2 linked regions of the Sus scrofa genome follow. The protein of the gene in region 1 purifies or fractionates together with the protein of each later gene. This does not show direct contact. Links are inferred from orthologs where the notes say so. Each region holds a gene or a part of one and is shown on either strand. Other genes may lie near its edges.

Region 1 (5,252 bases):
GACTGTACTTGCGGCGTACGGAAGTTCCCAGGCTAAGGGTCAAATTGGACTTACAGTTGCTGGCCTACACCACAGCCATAGAAATGAGGGATTCGAGTGGCATCTGTGACCTTCACCACAGCTCACGGCAACACCAGATCCCCGACCCACTGAGCAAGGCCGGGGACTGAACCCACATCCTCATAGATACTAGTTGGGTTTGTTTCCACTGCATCACAAACGGAACTCCAGACTTGTGGGATCTTACGTAAAGAGAGTAAAAGGCCTGGTGGTGGGGAGGAAATGAAAGGAGCTGTAGTACTTAAGAAGCCTCAGAAGTTAATTCCAATTTACTTTCCTCCAGATTCTTACAATGTTTCTGAGTTGCCATTTTCTTTCCACCATCAGCTCTCAGTGACTTCAGTTAATTTTCATTACATAAACCAGAAAGAAAATTAAATAAAAACACATACTGGGAAGTGGCAGGGTGGAGACAGAGAAAACCATATACTGAACTATATTACAATGTAACTATGAAAATTTACCTCACCTTAAACTCTCTTTTCTTCTCTTAACTTCTCTTAAATAAAAACTGACCCACCTCCAGACTCCATAGCTCTCTTTCCTCCTTCACAGGCTAACCTGAAACCATCTATTCCTGCTGTAAACATTAGTATACTTTCTATTCACTCTTCAAAGTACTCCAATCTTATTCCACCTACTAAACTTTCTCCAACACTAGCAAGGATTTGGCCTTCAATCCAATGAATATTTGACTCTTTTGTGGCACTGAAGTTATTGACCATCTTTTCCTTAAAAAAAAAAAATAATTTTCCTGACCAGCACACTCTGTCCTACTTTATACAGTTTATATGTCTATACCCTTTATAGGCATTTTTGCTCAAAAAAACCCCTATGTGGGAGTTCCCATCATGGCTCAGTGGTTAACAAATCCGACTAGGAACCATGAGGTTGTGGGTTCAATCCCTGGCCTTGCTCAGTGGGTTAAGGATCTGGCATTGCCATGAGCTGTGGTGTAGGTTGCAGACATGGCTCGGATCTGGCGTTGCTGTGGCTGTGGTGTAGGCCGGTGGCTACAGCTCCTATTAGACCCCTAGCTTGGGAACCTCCACATGCCTCGGGTTAGTTAAAAGAAAAGACAGAAAGACAGAAGGAAAAAAAAACAAAAAAAAAAAACCCTATGTGGAGTTCCCCTTGTGGCTCAGTGCGTTAAGGATCCAGCCTTGTCATCAATGTGGCTCTGGTCACAATTGTGGCTCAGGTTTGATCCCTGGCCTGAGAACTTCCACGTGCTGTGGGTGCAGCCAAACTGCCCCCCCACCCGCCGATGTGCTAATATTCTAAGCCTCCGTTGTGAGTCAAGTTCACTTAAGAGAACTTATTTACTACTGTGGTTTCAGTTACCAATAACCAGTGAATTTCAAACCAATACTTCAAAGTCCTACTTTCTGAGCTCAAGATTCACAAATAAAACTACTTGGTAAACATGGGTCATCCAAATGAAAATGGAATCGACCTATCTAAAACTATTCTCATCTAATCTTTCCCTCCAAACCTGTCCCATTCACCATTTACTTTGTTGCCTAAGTCAGAAAACCTACTTGTCAAAAAACTTACCTGTTTTGTAAAGGATGTTTAATATAGTGTTCTGGGTTAGCAACCTCCTGATTAGATTCTGTTTTCTCTTCTTCTGTAGGCGGGGGATTAGGAGTAGGGGTGGTTTCCTGTTGGAAAATAATTAAACATTATAAATTTTTTAACGTGAATAAATTTCTTAATTTATATGACAGCAATAACTCTAAATAAATTTGAACCAATATTGTCCATATCATTTTTTTAAGGAGAAGGAATTACAGCAAAAGCTTTTGATTAAACAGACAATCTCTAAAGAAAGCATTACTAAAAAGACAAAAAAAAAAAAAGGCACCAGACCATTCTGGCATCTCTCCACTGAGATGCAAAGAGTTTAGTTTCTCTAATTCAAAAATATAATGATAGTATTTTTCATATACTGTTATCTTCTTACACATTTTAATATCAGAAAAATTGTGATAGGAGTTCCCGTCGTGGCTCAGTGGTTAATGAATCCCACTAGGAACCAGGAGGTTGTAGGTTCGATCCCTGGCCTTGCTCAGTGGGTTAGCGATCCGGTGTTGCCGTTGAGCTAGCTGTGGCGTGGGTCAAAGACTCGGCTCGGATCCCGCATGGCTGTGGCTCTGGAGTAGGCCGGTGGCTACAGCTCTGATTAGACCCCTAGCCTGGGAACCTCCATAGGCCGCGGGAGCAGCCCAAGAAAATGGCAAAAAGACAAAAAATAAATAAATAAATAAAAAGATTGTGAGAGACCATGCAAAAAAGTTGGGAAAATCAGGTATCTTTCTTAACATACAATTAAAGTGCTATGCATGCTTTCTGGGGAGGGGGTTTAAGTTTGGAAGTGCAACTAATTATATTACAATGACTTAAAAAAAAAAAAAAAAACTTTATCAAGCCAGTACTACACAGGTCCTTGCCTTCATGTTATACCGTTATGACACATGGTAACTTAAAAGTTCAGCAACTTCTTTCTCAATTTGCCCTAAGGAAAAAAGCTAGACATTGGCTTGAACTTAAATCTTCTTCTAGGTTACACATAATACTGTCATCTAAAAATGTCAAGAAAAAAAAGAAACGTGGGAATAAGACATGTTCTCCACATCACTCCACGTAGTTCTTTAACCTATTTTAAGCTGGTATCAACAAAAAGGTGGTTAAGAAAAGGGCTGAAACAAAAGCTGATACAAAAAACGGGGGCACTGCAACAAGGGTGTGGATATCAGATTCAAATCAAGCCAGCAAAACAATAGATACACTGTCACATTAACAACACTAAGCAAATCAGAGATGTATAATCTAAAAACAGCCCTCAGGGAGTTCCCGTCAGGGCTCAATGGTTAACGTATCCGACTAGGAACCATGAGCTTCGGGTTCAATCCCTGGCCTCAATCAGTGGATTAAGGATTTGGGGTTGCCATGAGCTGTGGTGTAGATCGCAGACGGGGCTCGGATCCCGAGTTGCTGTGGCTCTGGTGTAGTCTGGCGGCTACAGCTCCAATTGGACGCCTAGCCTGGGAACCTCCATATACCACAGGTGTGGCCCTAGAAAAAGACAAAAAAATAAATAAATAAATAAAAAGAAGAAAATAAAAAAAGACCTCAAACAAAAACAAAAGACCTCAGAGAAGACACATTTTATAAAATACATTTTTCTTATCAACAAGACACTTCCAGGAACTACTTTTTCACTATCCTATAAAGTCAGTCATAGCAGGGGCTTTATCTTGATTTTGCTCACAATTGTAATGTCAATGATCACAATGCTACACTCAACAGAAACTTAACTGAATAAACTTAAATGTTTACTGAAGACTAGTTAAGGCCCTAAAATTTACATATAGTAGTAGCCAATGCCTTAAAATTAGCAACCATTTGTACAAGCATTTTCTCATCACAATTTAAGTCTTCAAGTAGATGGTCATTACCAAATAGCATTCCTTACTCTACTAGCTTAAAATTAATGATGGTCTCCACACAGAGGCAGTCTGAATGAATAGAGACAATAAGGAACAGTAAGGGACTGACAAGGCAGGTGGATTTGGGGAACAGGGTCCCAGAGAAAAGTAAACTGTAGAGAGAAATTCAAAAACACATGGGGGGGTAAAAAAAAACCCCACAAATCCTTGGCTGTGACTTAGTCCTAAACTGAGATGTTCAGAGTGCAATTCTGGGTGGTCTACCAGAGAACAGCTAAGCCAAGATTTCAGAGGATGAACAGCATTAGGAAGACCAAGTTCAGACCTAGCCAGAGTGGATGGTTGAAAATCCTCAGGTTTCAGATGAAATCCTAGAAAGGTCATGTCCTAGGAATTAGGTGAAATACACATACCTAACAGATTCTAAAACTAATCCTTGGCAGGATCAAGGCAATCTATTGCTAACTGTCTTCAAGAACAAAACTCTACACTCTTCAGAGGAAAAACATAATCCTGAGGCTCTATGAATATTATTCGTAAGACCTAACAAACAATCAAATTACTAGACATGCAAATAATGTTTTGTTTTGTTTTGTTTTTACCAGCAACTAATGATGAAGAGATTAGGAGTTCCTTGATGGCCTAGCAGTTAATAATCTGGCATTGTCACTACTATGGTGTAGGTTTGATCCCTGGCCAGGAACTTCCCACAACATGGGTTCAGCCAAGAAAAAAATATATATATCACTTCCAAAGGAACAATAAGAATAACTGGTAGCGTCTCAACAGAAATTTTGGAAGCCACAAGACAACAGAATAACATCTCAATGCTGAAAGAAAAAACTGTCAACTTAGAATTAAGTGCCTAGGAAAAGTTATTCTCCAGAAATAGAGAAATAAGGAAACATTTGCACAACACCAGAAAGTCCAAAAAGAGGAACACTAAAGAAAGTCTCAGGTTAGAGGGAAAAGCTCCCGGATGAAAGCATGGAAGTACAAAAAGAATGAAAAGCGCAGGAAAAGTTAAGAAATACTGCCAATTCTCTTATTTAACTAAAAGACATACTCATAAGCTCAAGATTCTCATGGCAAACTACTCTTTCACAGCATTTGTTTACATCTTTACCTCAGCAGCACATAAAAAACAGCTCCTGCATACTGCCCCCCGAGTACAAATTTTCTCAGGTCATATATTGCTATGGCCATCTACTTATTGCAACAATCCATTCTTAATCAGTAGAAATTGTACACCAAAAAGTTTACCATCAATCATTCACTCTGTATGCATCTTAATTCTGCAATTATGTTGTAAATATACAAAATATATTTTTAAAAATTCACAAAGGAAATTTTTTGAGACTATTGACAAAGGCCTCATTACAAAATCATTTCGGTAATTTCTCTCAACTTATTATTAAAACCTCTTGACTCTGATACAAATAATCAAGATGCTTTCTTCATTATTTTCAACTTAGATAAAGCAAAAGTAATAGCCATGTAGGATGTTCTTTTAAACTCTCAGGTTAATCCATGGCAGTTGGCTATTCTATAGGTAAATTCCAATCCCTTATCTTTGGAATTTATGGTAACATACAATGAGAAGTACTTTCCCGAAAGATGGCCATGATGCATTAAATTTTTCGATCAAAAATGACCTTTTAGGGAGTTCCTCTCGTGGCTCATTGGCAACAAGCCCAACTAGTATCTACGAGGACTCAAGTTCCATCCCTGGCCTCGCTC
Region 2 (5,978 bases), on another chromosome or scaffold:
AAATCTTTAGCTTTAAGTCAACAGAGCTTCTTTAAAAACTGAATTAGCCTTTACTTTTTATCACAAATTGCGTAACAAGGTCATTGGAAGAAAAGACTGTTAGAAAATTTAAGCTACTTTCCAAACATGCTTGGATATTCTCTTACTGTTTTTATACTCATCTTAAGAGCTAGAATTAGAGAGAAAATTATTTTTTAACCCTTTGATATTTAATTCTTCTAAAAACAGTGCAAACAAGACTTAAAGGTGTTTATTTCCTTATATTTACCCTTGAGCTCTGCCTGGTTTTATTATGGCTGTGTAAATAAAAGAAACAATTTTCTCCCAAAGATAACTGCTTAAGTCATTTACTGTCAATTACTTTATCTTTCCTGCGTTAATTAGATAAACAACATATGGGGTTTATAAAACAATTAGCTGGGAGTTTTACTAGCCAGTGTGTGAAAACCCAAGCATAATTGATATAGGAACTGCATTAGGTGCTTTTAGCATTACTGCCGCCTGAACAACTCATCCTGAATTTCAGCAGGACTATTTGCCTTTTTAATCAAGGTGAAGAGGTTAAATAGTCCCTTAAATGACTTTTGCATACAACCTATAACAGGCCTCGCATTGTGATAACATGATAAAAATATTTATTTCCATAGAAACAGAACCATGTCAATACCTGTTTTAGTCTTCTCCATTTAGCGCGACGATTCTGAAACCAGGTTTTGACCTACAGGAGAGACAGAAAGAAAACTTGCCATGAGCCCAAAGGGACCTGGGGAGGAGGTGAGCCAAGCGGTTCAGGGAGCAGACTCGCGCTCCAGGAGCCAGTGCCCCCCCGCGGCTCCAAATCTCACTCCGGCCCCCGATCCCTCCCCCAGGAGTCTCCCCAGGCCCCTGAGCGAGCTCACCTGCCTCTCGCTAAGCTGTAGCATCTTGGCCAGACGCTTCCTCTCAGGCGGGGAAAGGTATTTCTGGGTCTCAAACTTCTTCTCCAGCTCAATGGTCTGGTCATTGGAGAACCTAACCTGGCCGCCTTTCCTTTTATGCAGAGGCCTCTGAAGGAAGGGGCTCCAGAGCAGGGGTTTGCCTGTGGGCAAGAGTGGCTATTAGAAAGGACCCTGTAGCGGCCTGACCCACTTCAGACTTGTCTGGCCCTGAGAGTGACAAAGAGAAGGAAGGGAGCCTGGAGGACCCGCTACCAGATACACCGACATATACAGACCCAGAGATACAGGAACACCCAAAGTCACACGCCTACACTGCCTATGCACATAGATCACACTGTACACTCCCAGACACACACAACCATCACGCCCATAGCTAAATATAACCGTTTTGATTCCCAGAAGAACATCGACTATAAATTGAGCTTAAAATCACCATGATCTTTTTAACCAGTCGCTCTCAGAATTTATACACAACTTTTTGCTCCTCTGGGCCCTCTCTCTTGGGGGAGCGCACTTTCCAAAGATCAAGTGGGTGTTACGTTGAGGAGGAGCGGGTTTGTCGCACTAGTCAGGCGCGTTGCTGCCGGGGCGGCGCCGGGACCAGGAGACCACCTCCAGGGTGCGAGGGAAACCCTCCCGCCCGGGCGCGGGCTTCAGGGCGCGCGCGCGTAGCTTTCAATCCTGCCTGGAGGGCGCCGCGGCCTTCTCTGATTTCACACCCGGCTCGTGGGGGCGGCCAGTAAAAGCCACCCCGTGGGCTATGGCAACATTTCCGTCAATGTGTTTCCTGTTGGTCTATCTCGAAAAACCCTTTGCTTCCTCCTGCACAGTCCCAGCAGTAACCCAAGGAAACCCAGGGCGCGCTCAGTGAAAATGCTCGCCCCCAGGTCCGGCCCAACCCGGCTGAGAGTCCGCCTTCAGCCCCAGCAGGCGAAGAGAGTGACGACAGGCCTGTGGCACCAAACCCTCGAAGGCGGGATCAAAAACACAATATAATAACTCTAAAAAAAAAAAATCCTAAAATATAAACTCCCCCAAATCTCTGTAGCAAAGTAGAAAAGTGGAGCGCTAGGGGCTGCACCATAATAATGACATTACAAAGTCAATTAATTGAAATGTTAGTTGTCTGCCGGGTGCCTGCAGAAGCTGCTGATAACAGAGGTTAGATTTAAAACCTTGGTGACCCAAGGCAAGGAGCCCGGTTTTATTTACCCCAGGCTTCAGATGCCAGAGGCGCCAAGGGCCACCCGGAGCGTGGATCACGCTTATTTCTTTGGCCATGTACTGAGGGGACAAGTCCTGTAAACTCTATATGGCCAACGTGTCCGCGCTGCCCTTCCTACTCCAAAGACGTGTCGGTCAGTCCGTCCGTCCATGGGTCTGCAAGGCCTGCGCTACACGCTTTGAAAGCTGGCATTGTTTTTTCGAGATTTTGCTTACGTCAGGATTCAGACCGGTTCAAAACAGCCTCAAAAAAAAAAAAAAGGAAGCAACTGGTTATTTTAGCTGCCATAAAGTCACATCCCACACAGAGGAAATGAACAATATCAGAAAAACGGATCCCGGCTATCAGAAGTCGAGTGTTTCCTGAATTTGTCTGTATTGAGGATGTCGATAAAATAATCAGCAGCGTGCACTACTCCGGGGGAAGGGTCTGCTTCATGCAGCCAGGAAAACACTTAACAGCTTCTGAAACCAGATTTACTCCTATCGAGAACTCAAGATTTCCTGTATGAACGGAAAGGGTCAGGCTCTTTCACTGCACAAGCTTGTTGAACTAGGTCCAGCCCCGTAACCACCCGGCCCGGGAACTACCCTTGCCCCGCACGAGTGGCCTGGGGGGCCTTGGCACTCCCTTCCCAGTCCCCCCAGCTCAGGGAGCCCCACCCGGGCGACACGGGCCCCCAGGACTCCTTCGTCCGTCGGCCCTGGCGGCAGCGCCCGAGGTCTGGCCGGGGCCTGCTTGCCCCGACGCCTGCAAGGTGCAGGAAAACCAATCTGAGTCACAGTGCGGTCAGTCTGGGCCGCGCGCCGCCGGGGCCCGCGCCTCCCGTTCCCCGCGCGCGCCCGACAGCCGCTTTTCAATCGCTTTTGCCACAACTTTCTATTGCCTCCCCCTCCGCCCCCGCCGCCTCCTGGGCGCTGCCACCTGCCGGGTGGCGCCTTCCTCTCCGCCGCCCCGGCTCGGCCCCGCCATGACCCCGGCCGCCTTACCCAGGGGGTCGTGGCGGATCAGGGCGTGCGTGTAGTCATTCACCGACCGCGGGAAGGGGTACAGAGGGCCCCCGAAGCCGCTGGGTCCGTAGGCGGCGGCCAGCGCGGCAGCGGAGTGGTGCGAGAAGGCGGGGTGGATCGGCGTGGGCTCGTACACCGGGGTCCGGTAGGAGGACACGAGGCTGGTGAAGGAGGAGTTGGGGGACGGCAGCGTGGGCGTGGGGGTGGGCGCGGCGGGCCCGCGACCCAGAATGTCCTCGATGTAGAACGGCGTCGGGTGCGCAGGCTGCAGCAACGGCGTGGGCGCGTACAGCGGCACCCCCACGGCGCCAGCTGGGGGACCGGGGTGCGGGTACTGCATGGCTCTGCCGCGCTCCGGCCCCTCGGAGAGCTGCCGGCCCGCGCCGCGGCGCTACATTTATCCGCGCTCCGCGCTCCCGGCGATAGGCTCTGTCGGCCGCGGGGTGGGGCCGGGCACTCTGGCCCCTTCCTGCCGCCAGGCCCTGCGGCCAATGGCGCGGAGCCCCGGGAGCCGCCTCCCGCCCCCACCTTTGGCCCGCCCCCGTCGGCTGAGCTCCCCGCCCTCGGGACCAGCCCGCTTCCAGCCTCCGAGGACCCTGCGCCCCCGTGCCCAGCTGCCCGCACGCTCGGGGCTCCAGGCACCCCGGCCCGTGACGCCCTCGAAAGAAGTCCGGGACACCCTCGAAGGAAGCCCAGGGCCGCGTCCGTCGAGCGAGGCGTGAGGCAAGCAGCTGCCTGGAAGGCGGATTCAAGCGGCTGTAGCCCCGGTGGGAACACACCTCCACCGAAACCCGGGTGCACTGGTCGGAGCCCGGACCTGGGGTGGCTGCAGCTGCCCCAGGGAAGGGACGGCTGGACTCGGGCTCTGCAGGCGTAGAGGTCACTGGCAGGACTGCGGCTTCGCAGGCCCGAGAGCACCCTCCCTGGTCGGCGCGCTCCCTGGAGTAACGGTGGCACAGGCTGTTGCCCCGGGCGTCTAGGGGAGCTCGCGGTGGGAGAGAGTGCCTTGGGATCCTGGGGCAGCTCCAACGAGAGAGATCCACGGCCCTTGCCTGCCCAGTGGGGTAAGGATAACTAGACTTCAGGTGTTCTGGACTCTTGGCCTCTCTACCTTGTTTCACTTGTGGTCCCCGGGACTCAGCCACTTCCCGGGGACGCTGGCAGAAGTCCCTTCCGGCAGGAATTAAGGGAAGGCCTGAGTCCTACGGCGTCAGCCAAAAGCTGTGCGATTTTCTCCGACCCATTAGGAGCTGCTCCTGGTCCCCTATCCCCGGGTCCAGGGGGATCACAGCTGCGCGCAGCCCCGCTTTTGCCGTTTTGCACGTGTTTTCTATTGAAGCCTTGACGCTACCCGGTGTGGCTTCGGTTCTGTGCAGCTCCACTCGCCTGCGGGGCAAGGGGGCATTTTCTTGATTGACGCCCTCCTGCGGTAGTCACACCTCGCGGTGAGCGGTTTCTGCTAAGGTCCTCCATGAACCGTGGAAATGAGAGGACTTCCCGGCTTTTTCTATTCAGCGTTTTTATTTGCCTCTTGGAATTATTTCTCCGACTGCAGCAGAACGGCAGTAGGAAGAGTGGGCTGGAAGCCGGATGGCCTGGATTCAAGTTTAAGTCTGCACTTTTTTGTTGAGCACCTACTGTGTGCCAGCAGTGTACAAGACAGATTTTGTTCCTGTCCTCGAAGTGGCTGGAAACAAATTTAATACAGTGACTTATGTATGTGCTAGGAAGAAGTATGTGATGTTTGAAAAATGAGTAGGTGTGAAGGAGCCTAGAGAGGGACTAACACTTCAAACCCAGGGAATAACATGTGAGAGTAGTCAATACAGCTTTTCAAGTTGGGTTCCCTGAGTTTTTCTCATCTGAAACATTTAAGACTTTAAACATTTCTAATCCTTTTGAATTCAGGTCATAGGCATCTATCAGAATCTGATGACAGACCAGAGCTACAAACACAGACAAACACAGCACGTATAATATGCTGTCATTTGGGTTAAAACTTTGGTAGAGGGCAAGAATATTTATCTGTGCTTATGCTCTATTTTATAAACCATCTCTGTAAGGATAGACAAAAAACTTATAACGTTGGCTGTCTATGAAGAGAGAGGTGGAGTAGGGAAAAGAATGTACTGTACACTTTGTGACTATCTGGAGAATTGAACCGTGTGGATGTGGGACCTATTCATAGTATAAGCTGGTCCTTGAAAGAGTGGCTGGTTCTAGGTCTGGGGCAGGAAAAGTACAAGGTGAGCTCAAGGCATCTTGTGCCAGAAATCACGAGAGGAAACAGGAACTGGCTTGAAGGGGCTTCCATTGGCCCAATTTGGGGTAATTGTAGGCATCGAAACACATTATGGATTATGAGATCATAGAATCATTATCTGTAGTGATCCTCAAAGAAAGAGAAAAAGGGATGGTAGGTGGTAAAGCTGGAAGAATGCTAGCTAGCTAAGAAATGTAGAAAGATTGATAAAATCAAAAAATGTAATAATTCATTCAAGAATCATTGGACACCAAAACCATCAAGTGGACACTGTTGAGGATGAGAATTTTCACAAGGTATCATAGTATCACCCCAGTTGATTAGATTCTGGATATTTTTTAAGCTATAAAAGACTTTCCTATAAAAATGGAGATAACAGGGGAAAACTGAACAGGGATTGTGTGTGAGATGACATTATTAAACTAATGGTCATTGTTTTAGGTGTGATATTGGTATTGTGGGTAAAATGTCCTTATTCTGGGAGATACAAGCTAAGGAATTTAGGTGTGAAGGGTCATGAAATCTGCAACTTTTGAATCAGC

Evidence for each region. The genes of interacting proteins can lie anywhere in the genome.
Region 2: the proteins of EIF4E (region 1) and HHEX purify together in Homo sapiens (affinity purification with western blotting; 3 studies listed by BioGRID and IntAct, with this or other methods). This does not show direct contact. The link is inferred for Sus scrofa from reciprocal best matches to the Homo sapiens genes EIF4E and HHEX.

The regions. Positions count from the first base shown.
Region 1 is NC_010450.4:121,437,008-121,442,259, reverse strand, and holds part of EIF4E (eukaryotic translation initiation factor 4E), read right to left. Parts: intron 1,725-5,252; coding exon 1,618-1,724; intron 1-1,617. UniProt on the Homo sapiens protein: Acts in the cytoplasm to initiate and regulate protein synthesis and is required in the nucleus for export of a subset of mRNAs from the nucleus to the cytoplasm which promotes processes such as RNA capping, processing and splicing.
Region 2 is NC_010456.5:104,191,996-104,197,973, reverse strand, and holds the start of HHEX (hematopoietically-expressed homeobox protein HHEX), read right to left. Parts: upstream 3,551-5,978; 5' UTR 3,514-3,550; coding exon 3,153-3,513; intron 1,079-3,152; coding exon 900-1,078; intron 719-899; coding exon 668-718; intron 1-667. UniProt on the Homo sapiens protein: Recognizes the DNA sequence 5'-ATTAA-3'. Transcriptional repressor. Activator of WNT-mediated transcription in conjunction with CTNNB1.